3 linked regions of the Cricetulus griseus genome follow. The protein of the gene in region 1 interacts with the protein of each later gene in a pairwise test. Links are inferred from orthologs where the notes say so. Each region holds a gene or a part of one and is shown in the gene's direction. Other genes may lie near its edges.

Region 1 (5,025 bases):
TTCCCTGTGTAGTTTTGGAGGCTGTCCTGGAACTAGCTCTTGTAGACCAGGCTGGTCTCGAACTCAGAGATCCCCCTGCCTCTGCCTCTCAAGTGCTGGGATTAAAGGCGTGCGCCACCACCAGCAGTAATTCTAAGCTTTGGCCTCAGAGTAGTCATCCAAAGTCCCAAAATCCTGCCGTCCACATGGCTGGCTGGCCAAGTGGGACCAGCTAGTGGGGCTGTGTGGGGCTGCCAGCCATCTCTGACTTTTGCCCTGCAGCCATTGCCCTGCTGAAAGACAAGGACCCTGGGGCCTTCCTGATCAGGGACAGCCACTCATTCCAAGGAGCCTATGGGCTAGCCCTCAAAGTGGCCACACCCCCACCCAGCGCCCAGCCCTTAAAAGGTACAGCATCCTCAAACTGAGGGAATGGGTGTGGAGAGGGGAGAAGCTGCAGAGCCAAAAGTAGAGAGATGCACAGGACATCTCCATGAAGGGTAGGGGCAAAGCAAGTCCCCTTGCTCCCGGCTCAGGAAAGAGTTCCTGAGGAGGGGGAGGGGAGAAACTGAGAATCTGGAATTCAGTAAAGCTTCACTTTCACCATCCCTCCCTCCTCTCAGGAGACCCCTCAGAGCAGTTGGTGCGCCACTTCCTCATTGAGACTGGGCCCAAAGGCGTGAAGATCAAGGGTTGTCCTACTGAGCCCTATTTTGGTGAGAAACAGTGTCAGAGGGTTCTAGGGGGTTGGTTAAGGGAGAGGCCTCAAGAGGGCGAAGATAGAAGGCTATCCACAAGCCCTTCAGGATTTTTTCCCCTCCCTTTGCAGGCAGCCTCTCTGCCCTGGTCTCGCAACACTCCATCTCTCCCATTTCCCTACCCTGCTGTCTTCGAATTCCCAGTAAAGGTGTGTAATGTCTCCTCAGCTCTCATCACTCCTACAGCCAAATACAGAGGTCCTGTCTCCCCACCCCTTCCCTTATGGTGGCTAAGGGAGTCCACTAGCACCTAGGGAAGGCTCTCCCTCTTGACCTTCCTTGGTGGTGCTCATCTCCTCAGATCCTCTGGAAGAAACCCCAGAGGCTCCAGTTCCCACCAACATGAGCACAGCAGCAGACCTCCTGCGTCAGGGAGCAGGTAAGAGACTCGCTTCCCCTCCCTCTCCCTGGTGGTCAAGAGGACACTGTAGACTCCAGATACAGGGAGAGGCATTGATAGGACTGTAGAAGGTAGACCCAGCAGATACATTTAACCCCACAAAAGCAGAGGAGCCCACATTTTCAGGAGGCAGGGAAGGGGTCACAGGCTAAGTTCTCAGGGTTTACAACACAGGAGTCACAGCTGCAGCAGAGGAAAGAACTTGCACTGTTGCTGGCTGTAAATCCCTTGGAGTCTGGGAGTTGCCTTTCTAACTTGTCAGTGTGTGATTCTAGTGCATTCAGATAGCACTCTCAGGGAAAAGCATGAGAAGATTATATTAGACAAGAAGCTAAAGGGTGACTCAAAGGTGGCAGATCTTGGTTCTGGCACAGCCATACTAGCTCATCAACCTTCTTCCTGTCTCTTTAGCCTGTAGTGTGCTCTACCTGACCTCCGTGGAGACAGAGTCACTCACTGGCCCTCAAGCTGTGGCCAGGGCCAGTTCTGCAGCTCTGAGCTGCAGCCCCAACCCAGTACCAGCCATTGTCCACTTCAAGGTTTCAGCTCAAGGCATCACACTGACAGACAACCAGAGAAAGTGAGCCCCGGGGCACCAGCCTCTTTAGAGTCCCAAAGAAGGACTTTGGGAGCCTGGATTTTTCTTTGTCTTTGTGTGTGTGTGTTATGTGTACATACATGTTTGCATTTATGTGTGGAGGCTCCAGTTTGGTAATTAAGTATCTTTCTGGTCCCAGGTAGTGGTGGCATATGACATTAATACCAGTACTCAGGAGGCAGAGGCAGGTGGATCTCTGATTTTGAGGCCAGCCTGATCTATATATTGAGTTCCATAATAAGCAGGACTACACAGAGAAACCTTGAAAAACCTTGGGGAAAAAATCTTTTTGGCAGCATAGGCTACAAAGCTACATAGAGAAAGTCTGTCTCAAAAAAAAAAAGATATTTTTGGATCTCTCTTTCACCTTATTGAGACAGGGTTCTCTCAATCAAACCCAGAAGTCAGAGATGCAGCTCGTCTTGCTAGCTAGCTTGCTCCTGGGACTCTGTCTCTGCTTTCTGAGGCTGGAATTATGGGTCCTGGGGATTCAAACTCATTCTCTATGGCTAGTACTCTAACCTCTGGGCCACCTCCCCAGCCCAGAAATCTTTGTTTCTTTCTTTCTAAAAATTAACTTATTTACTTTTATTTTATGTGCATTGATGTTTTGCCTGCATGCCTATCTGTGTGAGAATGTTGCACCCCCTGAACTGGAGTTACAGATAGTTGTGAGCTGCCATGTGGGTGCTGGGAATTGAACCCAGGTCCTTTGGAAGATCAGCCAGTGTTCTAAACCTCTGAGCCATCTCTCCAACTCCAAAACTTGGATTTCTTTTTCTTTTTTCCCTGTCCCCCCTCCTGGGTTTTCAAGATGGGGTTTCTCTGTGTAGCCCTGACTGCCCTGGAACTGACTTTGTAGCCCAGACTGGCCTAAACTCACAGAGATCTGCCTGCTTCTGCCCTCGGAGTGTTGGGATTAAAGGTGTGCACCACCACCACTAGTGAAACCTGACTTTTCTTTTTTTATGTTATTTACTTAATGTGCTCTATCTGCATGTATGCCCTCAGAGGGCATCAGATCCCACTATAGATGGTTGTGAGCCATCATGTGGTTGCTGGGAATTGAACTCAGGACCTCTGAAAGAACAGCTAGTGCTCTTAATCTCTGAGCCATCTCTTAAGCCCAAAACCTGGATTAGAGGTGTGACTTTCCTTCTCCAACCTACTCCTCACAGGCTCTTCTTTCGTCGTCATTACCCAGTGAACAGCATCACCTTCTCTAGCACTGACCCCCAGGACCGCAGGTGAGCCTTCCTTGGATCCCTTTCCCAACCTATGGTCCTCCCACCCTCAGCTCCAGCTCACCCTTCAGGAGCTGTGCCCTCGGCTGTACTTCTTCAGGGCTCTCTCTCTTTACAGATGGACCAACCCAGATGGAACCACGTCCAAGTAAGTCTCCTTGTGCGCCCAACCCTAGACAGGCATGAGCTGACCCACACGGCCAGCTTCATCCTCCTGGCGAAGGAATATAAAGGTCCTCCCTGGCTTTGTCCCTGTAGGATCTTTGGTTTCGTGGCCAAAAAACCAGGAAGCCCCTGGGAAAATGTGTGTCACCTCTTTGCGGAGCTTGACCCAGACCAACCAGCAAATGCCATTGTCACCTTTATCACCAAAGTTCTACTGGGCCAGAGAAAATGAAGGAAAGCTGCAATCTCTGAGCCCACATCAACACTGCACTCTCCCAGCACCCACAGCTCTCACTGTCTTGGCCTGAATCCAGGAGCCCTAGGAGCCAGCGTCCTCCCTATGAAAGAGAGTGTGGCACCAGCCTGGGCCACTGTTCTTGCCCTTGCCTGCTAAGCTAAGTGAGTGGGCCCATGAGATGACCTGGCATGTGACCAGATGGCAGAGACAGGTGTAAGGGGTGAGGCGGTATCAGTAGTGGAGGCCTGGTGGGGAATGGCCCTGCCAGCTCCACCCAGCTGGAGGTCCCATCATGGAGGGAAAGGGGAGAAGTGTGGGAGCTTTTGCCTCCCCTCTGAACGAGACCAGAGTGGGATCACATAAACAGAGGAAAAAAGAGAGTCTATTTTTGTGTACTAATAAAGAATTTCTATAAACTTTTGAGGAGTTGATTACTTCTTCATAGGAAGAAGAAAAACGTACATCTCTCTCAGAGACATGCCCCTGCTGGCCTGTGTCCCACAACTGCCCTGGGGCCATCTGCCCTCAGCTGTCTCTACCTGCTGGCCCGGGCCCTTTGACTGGAAAGGATTCCCTTTCTGTCCGTCCTGATAAATATGGAAACTCCATCTTTATTGGGTGTATAAACATCTCTGGTCTGTACATACATTTCATACATCATAGTGCAGGGGCCGGAAGGAGGGGCAGAGGAGCCCCAGCAGCACAATAGCACCCCCCAAGTCCTACCCACTGTGCAAACTGAGACCAAGAGCCCCTGAAATGGGGGGAGAAGATGGGGGGATTGGTTGCAGGTGAGGGGTCTATGTAGACGCTAGAATCATACACTGAAGCAAAAACAGTCAACTGGCACAAGCAGCAAGCTGGGGCACAGGGTCAGGGAGTGGGCAGGGGAAGGGACATAAGGGGCCAAGTTGCAGCTCTGAGCAACAGCCACAACAAAACACATGCCCTGGTGCCTTAGCCGCATCTAGGTGAGCCAGGGCTAGGGGTGCCTTGAGGAAGAGTGCAGACAAGGAGATGGGAGCAAAGGCTACAGTCCCCCACTGCCACACAGACTGGCCTTTCTCTCACACAGATACTGAGCACTCTGTGGGCAGGTAGGGAGCCAGGCTCGACTTTATGTGATGCTTGAGTGTGGGAGCGGGGCTGTCTCTCAAAGGAAAGAATGAAGACCCTAGATGTGATTTAGGACAGCAGCCAGTGAAAAGAGAGATAGCCAAGACAGGCCCCCTAGCCCAGCCAGGGGGAGACAGCAGCAACTGGGTGAAAAGAGGTTTCAGGGGGATTATGTGGTGAATAAGGACAGGCTACCTCTACTCCACCCTCGGCCCAAATAGCAGGTGGGCTTACACTTCTCCCAACTCTCACAGGGTCCAGGAAGGTATAAGGAGATCCAGGTGCCCACAGACCAAAGCAAGGGGGACCCTCCCATATATCAACACTGTTCTATACCCATTCCTATCACCACAGGCTCAGGCCCAGAGACAGAAGGTCCAGCCTGATTGGGCTCTGACTGAGCTGGTAGGGGAAGGGTAATGTCCTCCCAGGGCCTGATGGTGAGCAAATCCTGGGGAAGACTGGAGGGAGGCTGCAGAAGGAAAGGGGCAGATGTGCAGGTGAAGCCTCTAGCCACTTAATGGGTG
Region 2 (5,536 bases), on another chromosome or scaffold:
CCTTAACTAAAGTCTCTATTTACAAATTCTAGTTACTACTACTAACAAGATGCAGACAAACCAACTTGTTTTTATGTGGCTCATGGGGCCACCTTGTCAGTTCTGTTTTGAACTGTGCTGTCTCCAAAGGCTACTCCATCACATTAAGTGACTTACACTGCTTTGGAAGACTGCTCTATACCATCTGCTGAGCACCTGCTGGACAGCCACCTGTCTCCTCAGCTTCAGACTGGGTTGGAGCAGATACCCATTGACCCAGCTGTATCTGTTGCTTGTGGCACACTTACTCTTGAGAAGATGTTGGATATTTTGAACATCATTGGTTTTGTATGGTAAGATGGGTTTGTATGAAAGAATTGCTGTAGTCTCCATGACAACTGTAAAAAGGAGATTTAATTTTATCCATTTTGTAGAAGAGTAAATTCATACCTAGTTTGGTTATAAAGGTCCCCAAGCTGTAAATCATCAACATGAGACACTAGATGCAACTTTCGCCATTCTAAAGTTGACAGGATTTTAGACTTTAAACTCAATTGCTTTAAGTTAAGGGATGCTTCTGTCTTGTGAGAATTGGAGGCAAGGAGAAGGTAGGGCATGGGATCATTTTCCAGGAGACATGATACCTTCATGCTTCCTCACCACCTTCACCACTGGGTTCCGCTGGAATGGAGGGGGGAATTGATAGGGTGAAAATGGAAGAGGAAAACAATAATCTGCTTCTTCATAGCCTGGAAGCTTCAGCACTAAGGCAAGGCACTCCCAGCTCTGTAGGTGACTAGACGGACAGCACATGGGGAGGGAATTGGCTGGTGGAATGTTACCTTGGGCAGATGCCAACCAGCTGTCTCATGGTCTGAGCCAGACCCACAACTCTTTATATAAGCACAGCCCTCTGGCCAGATGCCTTAGCCTGAATGACTTTGAGCCTGCTGAAGAGGGTAAGTCTGGAAGCTTGGTCCTGGGATTGTGCTGGGGGTGATGTACAAGGGGTTCCCAGACTCAAAAGAATGATTAAGGGAGAACCTGGGGCAGAGGTGCATCAGTCTGAGGAGAAAAACCACCTAAGAAATATAAAACATATAGAATTTATGGGCTGTAAAGTGTATTTATCTTTGACAGCCCTGGTTTCTTCTCCAGGTACCATTTTCTTTTGTTAGGAACTTGTTTTCCATGGAGAAGATACATTGTTATTTATTTTGTGTGGATCACCCGCTCTAGGGAACACAGACAAACACTTGTAACAAACGGAAAATGTCTAGCTCTGTCTTCCAATAGAAGTATTTTTGGTATTTTGGGAGATTGTAAGAGGTGCTGTGTTGTATGGTTCTATTGCCAAATTAGGCCTGTGCTGTGCTGGTCACTGGGCTACCTGAACACAGGCAGGTGGCTCTGGAAAGAACAGCTGAGTGGGAGCTGCTGTGTTTTCATGTTACTAAGGGTAGTATAGGAGTGTATGCCTGAATGTCTTAAGTCTTGTTGTTATGACCTTACTATATAGCTCTATAAGTGTGCCTGAATGTCCTTACACAAAGCCTTGAATGTGACAAAGGATCTGCCAGTCTCTGGGTTACCTCAGTTTCACTAACTATCCTACATCTCATAAGGTCTGAGGAGAAAATGTTTCTGAAGCCAGCAGACTGTCACCCTCCAGATCACTAACAGCAGCAACCTGCCTGAGCAAATGCACATGTTGATCCCAAGACTAGTGTGTTTTGTATATGAAGTATAAATAAATTTGCCTATTTCTATGAGTGTCTATTTAAGTGAACTCACTTTAAAAAGATTGAATGCCAGGCAGCAAATATTAAGCTCTAGGACTGACATGTCCAGAATCTGCCTGAATCCTTTGCTTTTCAGTAGACTCTTTGATGTAATGTGAACCTAGATGATGCCTGTGTTTTTGTTTTTGTTTTTTTCCCTGTGCTCATTTTTACATACATGTGTGGGATGTGTGAGGAAATCCAGGCTTCCATGGGTGTGGAAGCCTCAGTTTGGGCTATGCATTGTAAGCAAGCTGTCACCTGTTATTCCCGTAGGACTATTTCCACCACCAGACTTTTTAAGTGTAGAGAATGTGCTTGTCAGCAGTGCTCTCTGGTGGCAGACTTTGGCATACATACTTTTATATCTAGCTGTACAGAATCCACCCTTTTTGGCAAAACGCATAGACAATGGTGACCAGCATGGGCTCCAGTTAAATTACTATCAGTAAGGATTCTTGGGTGAAGGTTGAGGGCGTATGAAGACAAGCCAGAGAAGATGTCAGGCTCCTGGCTCTGGACCCAAGCTCCTCTCTCCCAACTCTGAGCCTCTTGACCCTGGTTTCTCTACCCTCAGGTCTTGCTCACCCACCTACATCAGGACAATGTGTGACCAGCAGCAAATTCCGTGTTGTGTGCCGGTACCTCAGTGCTGTGTCAAGGGTTCCTCTTTTGGTCCCTCACAGTTTTCTTATGCCAACAACCCAGTGCTGGTCCAAGCTCCATGTGAGATGCAAGTTCTGCAATATGTTACACCAGGCCCAGTTCAAGTTTCCCAGACTCCATGCCAGTCGGGTACCACTGAAGTGAAGAGCCAGGCTCCGTGTCCATCCAAGAGCACTAAGGTTAAATGTCAGGCTCCATGTCAATCAAAGACCACCCAGGTGAAATGCCAGTCTAAGACCACTGAGGTAAAGTGCCAAGCTCCCTGCCAGACTCAGGTTTCCTGTGTTCAATGCCAGGCTCCATGTCAGTCTCAGGTTTCCTATGTGCAAGTCCCACAACCTCTTCAGACCTACTATGTGGAATGTGCTCCAGTATATTATACAGAAACTAGTTATGTGGAATATCCTGTTCCGACCTATGTGCCTGCTCCGACTCCTCGACCTGCCCGCACCTATGTAGAATGTCCCTCAGTGGGCCAGGGTCAGGGAAGTTTCTCCACTCAGGGCCAGTATCAGGGCTCCTATGGCAGCTGCACCTCTCAGTCACAGTCACGGGGTTCCTATAACTGTGGTGCACAGTCTCAGTCCCAGGCTTCCTACAGTCGCTGTGTACCCCAATTCCAATCAGGGCCCTCCTACACTGACTGTGGACCGCAGCGCCAGTCACAGGCTTCCTATGGCGGCTGTGCCTCCCAATTCCAGTCTCGAGCATCCTACACCAACTGCTCCTCCCAGCGTCGGTCTGGGGTTTCCTTTAGCACCTGTGCACCCCAATGCCAGGCTCAGGGCTCCTACGGAAGCTTCACTACTCAGCAGCGTCGGTCTCAGAGCACTAGCAGATGCCTCCCTCCTCGTCAGCTGCAGCCTTCTTACCGAAGCTGCTCTCCACCAAGACGTTCTGGGCCCGGTTACAGCAGCTGCCTGCCATCCCGATGCTCTTCAGGATCCTACAACTATTGCACCCCACCCCGCCGCTCAGAGCCAATCTATGGCAGCCCCTGTCCTCCTCGGGGCCGCCCTTCGGGCTGTTCTCAAAGATGTGGACCCAAGTGCAGGGTAGAGATTTCATCACCCTGCTGCCCCAGGCAGGTTCCCCCACAGAGGTGTCCTGTCCAGATTCCTCCCATCAGAGGAAGATCCCAGAGCTGTGTCCGGCAACCTTCTTGGGGTGTCTCCTGCCCAGATCTAAGGCCACGTGCAGAGTCACAGCCATTCCCAAGGTCTTGCGGGCCACAGCGTCGCAACTGGTCTCCAGAACCATCATGGCAGCGGTGCCCAGTTCCTGCACCACGTCCTTGTCCAGAGCCACAGCGTCGTGACCTGTCTCCAGAACCATCATGGCAGAGGTGCCCAATTCCTGCACCACGTCCATGTCCACGTCCAGAGCCATGCCCAAGTCCAGAACCCCGCCCATGTCCTCCACTGCGGCGATTTTCAGAACCATGTCTATATCCAGAACCGTGTTCAGCTCCTCAACCAGCACCGCGTCCAGCACCACGTCCAGTGCCGCGCCCGCGCCCAGTTCACTGTGAGAACCCAGAACCACGCCCGCACCCACAGCCTTGTCCATATCCTGAGCCCATACCTCATCCTGAGCGCTGCTCCAGCCCAGAGCCTTGTGGGGAGCCCATGCGTTGTCCCAGTCCTTGCTCAGGCCCTATTCCAGTCCCCTACCACCAAGAACTAGGCTGTCATGAATCTAACCCATGCCGCCTGGATTCTGAAGGCCCTAGCCCATATAGCTGCAACCAGGGGCAAGAGAGTAACGACAACTGTAGAGCTGATGATGTCTTTCCAGGGCCACAGGGTCTAGGTGGTTGTGGAGACCAAGGAAACACCAATGGTGGAATGAAAGGTGGGGCTTATGCTGGAGCAAAGGGTGCTTACTTTTAAAACAAAATGCAGCTAAAAGCCCTTGCCTCGGGCTCTCTAGAATATTTTCTCTTCTCTTCTGGGTTAAATCTTTCCACAGACATCGTGATGCTCCCTGCTTCAAAACTGTTGTACAAACTCCTTGCATGTCATCTCACGCTCCATACCTGAGTCTCAGACATCATTCCAGCCTCATGTCTCACTCCTCCTCTGCACTCAGCTTTAATTCTAACCAGACCAGCTTGGCCACCAGGGCACTCCTTGGGTGTTCCTCTTGACATTCCCCAGATGCTCTGGCCTCTGCAGAGACTCCCTTGGCCTGAACCATTTCTCACATATTTCCCAGGGTCCAAAATTGTACCTGTCTTTTTATACCTCTCCCTTGAAGCCTTTTGTTGTTGCTTCTTGTTCCCACCCATAGGAGCCTATTCTAACTTCCTTGAGTTCATTGCCCATAACTCCATCCATTTAGCAAGAGCTTTGCAGCACTTCTGAATTCATTTCTCTTTGCAGTCATTGCCTTTTCTGCCCAACTACATTGTAAACTCTCATTCTAGTGGAGTCAGTATATCTTTAAATCTCTGTGCCCATCTTAGGTCAGGTAATAGTTGATCAGGGTTGTGGTTGGCAGCCTGAACCATGTTCTGTCCTTTGGGGGCAAGAGGAGGATGCATAATAATAAAAACTGGATGTGTTCACGGTTTGAGTCCTGAGTAATAATGTCTGCTCTTTATTTGATAACAGCTTGCTGAGATGGTTGATGTCTATCTAATCATGGTAAAAATACATGTAAAATTTATTAGCATAGCCATGCCAGTGGGATTAATTATGCTTGTGTTGTTGTATTACATTTACCACCATTCATCTATCCTATAGGGAAAAAATCTCGATACCTCATCCCACTTCCCTTTAGCCTCTACAGACCACCGCTGCGTTTTCTACCTTTTAAAATTTGACACTACATGTGTCACAGATAGACTCAAATGGCATTTGCAAATTTTAGTTCACTTAGCATCATGTTCTCCAGGTTCATCTTTGCTTTAGCATGTATCAGCTATTAAGGCAGCATGACATTATGTTCCATGTAGATGCTGTGCTTTATGTGTTCAGCAATGAATGGCTAACCATTTGGCTATTATCAGTGATGGTCCAATCAACACCAGTATAAAATACTTCTTTGAGAGTATGATTTCAATTCTTTTGAGTAGATACCAAGAAATGGAGTTCCTATGTCATATG
Region 3 (5,857 bases), on another chromosome or scaffold:
TTGCTCTGAGCGGAATTTGCCACCGGAGCCCCAGAGTTAGCGCGCGACCGGGGCGGGGCTGGCGCGCGGGGAGGGCGGGGGGAGGGGGGCGGGGGAGGGCGGGGGCGCGCGGAGGTAACCCGGGCTAGCGCTGCCATTGCCCGGCTCCCTGTCACTCAGCCCTCTCTAGGCCCCCTATTGGCGGCCTTGCCCCGTTACGCACTTGCCTCGCGTTCTCATACCCGGGGAGGGCAGTAGAAAGGTGATCAATCTTCATCAGGCTACATTTCCAATCACCTAAACAACCGAGCAAGACAAGCCACTCCGACAAGGTAAATTGCTTGATTTATTTAGTTTGCCAAGTGACTACGCAGGATTTCTTCAGTCTCTACCGCCTCCATGTTGCACCGGGAGTGCAGCGGCCACCGCGAACCACCACCTAACTCTGTCCCTCGAACACCGCCCCCCCACCCCGTCCCGGTTGAGGCCAGGTCTTGGGAGGAAAAGCATGTGGGACTTTGCAAACAAAGTATTTGTGCAATAATGTGAAACCTGGGGAAACACGCACAGAGCTCCTGGAAAAAGCAGGAGACGGGAATAGGGAAGTTGGGGAAAGAAGGAATGCGGGGGTCCTAGACCCGCCGCCGGGGTAATACCTGTGCAGCTCTGTTTTGCAGGTTGGCTGCCCGGAGGGTCTTGCTGAGGGCACGAGGTAGATGGTGAACAGCCCCGGCAGCGGAGGGCAGGTAAGGAGGGAGCCGAGGGGCCGCGCGCCGCCCTGCCCGGGGACGGTGTTGGCTCCCTTCGCCTCCTCTTCCTCGAATCGACCCCCGCTCCCCCAGATCCCCGGCAGGTGGGCGGGGCTGGGGTGAATGGCCGGGCACCCCCTTGGCTGTGCTGAGAACCCTAGGCCTCTGCTGAGCCGGGCACCCCTCCCCCGCCTCCTCCGAAGCTGCGGAGCTGGGGTGCTAAGTTAGATCTAAGTATTCGAAAACTCACGCAGCACCTTCGCAGAACCGCGGCGGCTGGTGGCCTGTGGTTCTCCGGCCCAAGTGCGCTGTTTCCCTTGTGGTTCCGTCCGCCTTCCGCGCCTGCTGGTCTCCCTTAGTCCAGGCCGCGGGACCCCAAGGACCGAAGCAGGGGTTGGAGTTGGGATGGGAAAGCTACTTAAGTCCTGCCTCCTTTTTCCCTGAGTTCCCACCCTGGGCTCCCTGTAAAGCCGGGTGTAGCTAGAAGCCCCCCTCTCGGGTCCCAGCCCTACCCCCCCAGAACCCCTTCTTCCGCTGGAGAAGAGCGCCAGGGGCTCGCAGTGTCTTCGGCCGAGCCTAGCGCTCCCAGCTTGGGTGTGCGGGAGCTTTCCGACTTGAGGCCTAGTTCTCTGCTCTCCACCGAGTTCAGGAGAGGACGGCGAGGAGCCCACGCGATCCAGGGTGCTCTGGCTTCTGAACTCCCCAGCATGCTTTGAGCCGCTGGGCTGGTCATCCTTTATCAGACCCTGGTGGGACTCGGTGTGCTCTCTCGGACTTGGTAGAAAGAAGGTCGGGCCTGCGTGGGCTTAGGAGGACGGGTGACCGTCTTTGAGGCACCCCTGACCTTGGGCGGCTTCTTGAAACTGCCACTTCTACTGTGGCGCCTTTGGCATCTTCTCGCCGCCTCACCCGGGCCTGGGCCACATCTACCCTAGAAGTGCGTTGAAATTCCGGTTCACCCATCTCCTAGCGTCAGGGGCCCAGAGAGGTCAGATAGAATGGTGATTGGGACTCTGGGGGAGGGGGCTGCTCTGGAGATCTCTGAAGGAATGATGTGACCAAAATGGGCAGTTGCCTGGGCGATCCAAGGGGTACTAACCTTGGACCTCTGTAGTGCCAGCGGTTTTGTCCCTCTTTCAAAAACATTTGAAACTTAAACAAAATAACCCGGTACGTACGCTCTGTACGGCCTGCCATCCCGGCGCCAAGTGAACATTTGCTTGAGCAAATTGCTTCCGCAGCACTAAAAAAAAAAGACTACACTTGGGATTTTGCACCCTCCCCGGTCCCGGCTCTCACCTCCTCGGCCTGATCGCGCTTTTAAGTTTTCTTTCCTGTTGACACTCAAGGAGTGTCTTTGGCCCTTGTCAAGCCCTAAAAGAGGAAGGAACGATGTGGGGAAAGTTTACTTTTCTAAGAAGCCGGCTTGCTGAGCTTGGAGGAGAAATTTCTTGGGTTGCCTGCCCTGTTAAGTTCCTAGCCTGCCCCCCTCCCCATTCTAGGATTATAGGAACTGAAAGCCAAAGTGACTGCGGGTGACGGTTTCCATGTGTCTCCTGTCTCCTTAGGCCAGGCCCCCAGAAGCAACAGCTTGAAGGACTTCGAAGTGGGAGCCCTGAACTGCTCCTGGCCCCAGGCCCCCTGGATCCGTCGGGGCGCCTCCACCCGGCAGTTAGCATGATGTCTTACCTCAAACAACCCCCATACGGCATGAACGGGCTGGGCCTAGCTGGCCCTGCCATGGACCTCCTACACCCCTCTGTGGGCTATCCTGGTGAGCGGTGGCCCTATGTCCCTACCCCCAAGCCTGTGCAAATATTGGGGGATTCCAGCTTTTAACGTTTGAGCCCACACAGTCCCCAAACAGGCCCAGGGATATGATTATCTCTGTGTCTGTTGCCCAGATCTGCTACAGGCTCTCCGGTTTGAGTTTAGAAACTGTGACCTACAACTTTTGAGCTTGTGGTGCCTGCTCCTGTTGTGGTCTCACATGCTAGAGAAAGCATGTTTGTCCACCGACGTATTTCCCACCGGTTGCTTTTTTAAAAAAATAAAATCTTGCCCGCCCAAACATTTCACGAGGAATCTGGACTCGATAGGCCCTAATGTAAACAGCCAAACTTCCCTTATGTCTAGCTGCCTTGAGAAGCAGAGCTCTTTCTCCCTAGTCAGAGTGCCCTAGAGACCAGGGACCTGACCCAGCTCTTCCGTGGTGGCAGACGACTCCAACTGAACCCCGAATTTATTTTCTGGATCCTACTTCTTTGCTTGAATTTATTCACTTGGAAAGCTTTCCCAGGTCCTGTTTCTACCTACCTCTGTTCTACTTCCTACCTTTCAGCCAGAAGTGGGCTTAGGGAGATGAGGAGGGGATGGCTTTGTTTTTTATCTGAGAGACAAGGAGGGCTGAGGCCCTGATGTTTCTTTCAGACAGGAGCCTCTAGCCCAATTTATACACTTTGCCCCACCTGTGGGCAGGGAAGTTTGCTTTTGCGCGGAGGTCGGCCTTTCCTTTCCATGGCAGGGTTCTGGACCTACCAGAAGACCTGCGTGTGGCCTCTAGCTCCAGTCCTCGAGGTCCACTGCTGACTCCAGGTGCCCTTGTATGTCCCCACAGCCACCCCGCGGAAGCAGCGACGGGAACGCACCACCTTCACGCGTTCACAGCTGGACGTGTTGGAGGCCCTTTTCGCAAAGACTCGCTACCCGGACATCTTCATGCGAGAGGAGGTGGCGCTCAAGATCAACCTGCCAGAGTCCAGAGTCCAGGTGCGTGGTCTTTGGGACTCTAGGATTAGGGTAGGGGCGCTAGGAGCGGTCGGGGAAGATCCGACCTGGGCCATCTGGTGTTGGGGCCCATTCACTGACTGGACAGCCCCTCTCTAACTCCCCCTAGTGCTGGGCTTCAGTCAGCTAAAGGGGGGTAACATTTTAAAAAGTAATGGCTTAGAGCCCAACATCTCTCTAGCCCTTGTCCCCAGGGCGCTTTCATTGTTGAAAGTCGGTTTTTGGATTTTGGAAAGGCCAGCCGTGTCCCCCGGGTGTAACTTTCCCAGAAGGTTAGATAATGGCCCCTGCTTCCTGGCTACAACAGAATTTGGCGTTTTCCTACTGAGCCTTAGCTCTCCTTCCGCTCTTGTCTTTCTTACCCTTCCCTTGAGTCCTGGGGATTCTAAAAGTGCAAGATGGAACTTGGTCACAGCCTAGCGCAATCTGCCTTGGAGTGTGCTCTGAGGGTGGAGTCGGTATGGTTTGGAGTTTTCTCCAGCCGAGTGGAGGCCGAGTGCAAAATCCAGATGCTGGGTTTACTGTTTCTAAAATGAAACAGTTCAGAAAATAGGAGTTCTGAGTTAGTCTAAAACTCTTCCTCGAGAGTCTTTTGTCTCAACTTCTTTCCCTGAAGGCTCGAGAAGGGACTGGGAATGCAATGCCCCGTGTCCGGGCCCCTCCAAAAGGAGTGCGAATTTATGACTTATCGTTCCATTTGGTACCCCACCTGGAGCCAAAAGGCCCAAGGAAACCTCACCCAGGCTTCCTTCACGAGAATCCCAGTACTGGAGTACTGCTTCCGTTCAGTTCAGCCTCCAGCCTTGCTTCTGTTCCCACCCAAATATTTGCCCTGCCCAACTCCAGTCTCCAGGAGCCGACTCGGTGAAACCCCTCGGGCCCCAGACTTGGTGACTGCCCTACTCTCCGATGTTCTGTACTCTCCGCTGTTTCCTGAGCTCTGTTCTTGGAAAACAGGGCCTCCAAACTAAAACGGGGCTGCGGGGAAGCAGCCAACTGCAACAGCTTAGAGATGGCTGAACTTCTGGCTGGACAGACGCAAACGTTCCGCCCTTGGGCAGAGTTGCGCTGGGCTTGGGGAGGTGCGCATCCCTCCTGCGGTGGAGGCTGACTGGGGGCTTTGCGCAGAAGGATGGGGGAGGGAGCCAGAGCTGGGGACCTAGCACGTGCGGGGGAGGGGACAGGGTCTGGCAGGGCCAGAGACTGGGAGGGGTAGAGGCTGGGATTGAGAGGTCCCTGAGATCCTGGGCGGGGTGTGAGTCCGAGGGGCGGAGGAGCTGTGAGCTCCACTAGCCAGCCCCCTGATCCCTTCTCCTTCACCCTGCTCACTGCAGGTTTGGTTCAAGAACCGCCGTGCCAAGTGCCGCCAGCAGCAGCAGAGCGGGAACGGAACGAAAAGCCGGCCGGTCAAGAAGAAGTCGTCTCCAGTGCGCGAGAGCTCGGGCTCGGAGAGTAGCGGCCAGTTCACGCCGCCTGCCGTGTCTAGCTCGGCCTCTTCGTCTAGCTCAGCGTCCAGTGCCTCCGCCAATCCCGCGGCTGCTGCGGCCGCGGGCCTGGGTGGGAACCCGGTGGCAGCCGCGTCCTCTCTGAGTACGCCTACTGCTTCGTCCATCTGGAGCCCGGCCTCCATCTCGCCAGGCTCAGCACCGCCATCCGTGTCCGTGCCAGAGCCACTGGGCGCACCGAGCAACGCCTCCTGTATGCAACGCTCGGTAGCCGCAGGTGCCGCCACTGCTGCGGCCTCTTACCCCATGTCCTATGGCCAGGGCGGAAGCTACGGCCAGGGCTACCCCGCGCCCTCTTCTTCTTACTTTGGCGGTGTAGACTGCAGCTCCTACTTAGCGCCCATGCACTCTCATCACCACCCGCACCAGCTTAGCCCCATGGCACCCTCCTCCATGGCTGGCCATCACCACCACCACCCGCACGCACACCACCCACTGAGCCAATCTTCAGGCCACCACCACCACCATCACCACCACCACCATCACCAAGGTTATGGAGGCTCTGGGCTCGCCTTCAACTCTGCCGACTGCTTGGATTATAAGGAGCCTGCCGCTGCCGCTGCTTCCTCTGCCTGGAAACTCAACTTCAACTCTCCCGACTGTCTGGACTATAAGGACCAAGCCTCGTGGCGGTTCCAGGTCTTGTGAGCCCAGGAATGAGAGGAAGTGGAGAAGAAACGCAACTACCTGCGCCCTCCGTGGTCCCCATCCTGTTGCTGCTGCTGCACCGCTCGCCTTTGCCTTGGCTTTTCCAAAACTGAATTTTCACGCCCCCAAGATGTCCATTGCCTGCACTGCCGCTCCCATCTTTGTGCCACTTGCTTGGGGGAGGGTAGA

Evidence for each region.
Region 2: the proteins of Tns2 (region 1) and Kprp interact in binary tests that used the Homo sapiens proteins (3 or more experiments, as listed by UniProt). The two-hybrid records come from large-scale screens. The link is inferred for Cricetulus griseus from reciprocal best matches to the Homo sapiens genes TNS2 and KPRP.
Region 3: the proteins of Tns2 (region 1) and Otx1 interact in binary tests that used the Homo sapiens proteins (3 or more experiments, as listed by UniProt). The two-hybrid records come from large-scale screens. The link is inferred for Cricetulus griseus from reciprocal best matches to the Homo sapiens genes TNS2 and OTX1.

The regions. Positions count from the first base shown.
Region 1 is NC_048595.1:398,514,072-398,519,096, forward strand, and holds the end of Tns2 (tensin-2), read left to right. Parts: intron 1-261; coding exon 262-387; intron 388-602; coding exon 603-695; intron 696-808; coding exon 809-886; intron 887-1,038; coding exon 1,039-1,116; intron 1,117-1,548; coding exon 1,549-1,717; intron 1,718-2,913; coding exon 2,914-2,982; intron 2,983-3,097; coding exon 3,098-3,127; intron 3,128-3,237; coding exon 3,238-3,376; 3' UTR 3,377-3,803; downstream 3,804-5,025. Other genes in the region: Spryd3 (SPRY domain-containing protein 3), read right to left, coding at 5,008-5,025. UniProt on the Homo sapiens protein: Tyrosine-protein phosphatase which regulates cell motility, proliferation and muscle-response to insulin. Phosphatase activity is mediated by binding to phosphatidylinositol-3,4,5-triphosphate (PtdIns(3,4,5)P3) via the SH2 domain.
Region 2 is NW_023276806.1:63,077,618-63,083,153, forward strand, and holds Kprp (keratinocyte proline-rich protein), read left to right. Parts: upstream 1-2,365; coding exon 2,366-4,318; downstream 4,319-5,536.
Region 3 is NW_023276807.1:84,694,191-84,700,047, forward strand, and holds the start of Otx1 (homeobox protein OTX1), read left to right. Parts: upstream 1-2,405; coding exon 2,406-2,502; intron 2,503-3,345; coding exon 3,346-3,497; intron 3,498-4,849; coding exon 4,850-5,668; 3' UTR 5,669-5,857. UniProt on the Homo sapiens protein: Probably plays a role in the development of the brain and the sense organs. Can bind to the BCD target sequence (BTS): 5'-TCTAATCCC-3'.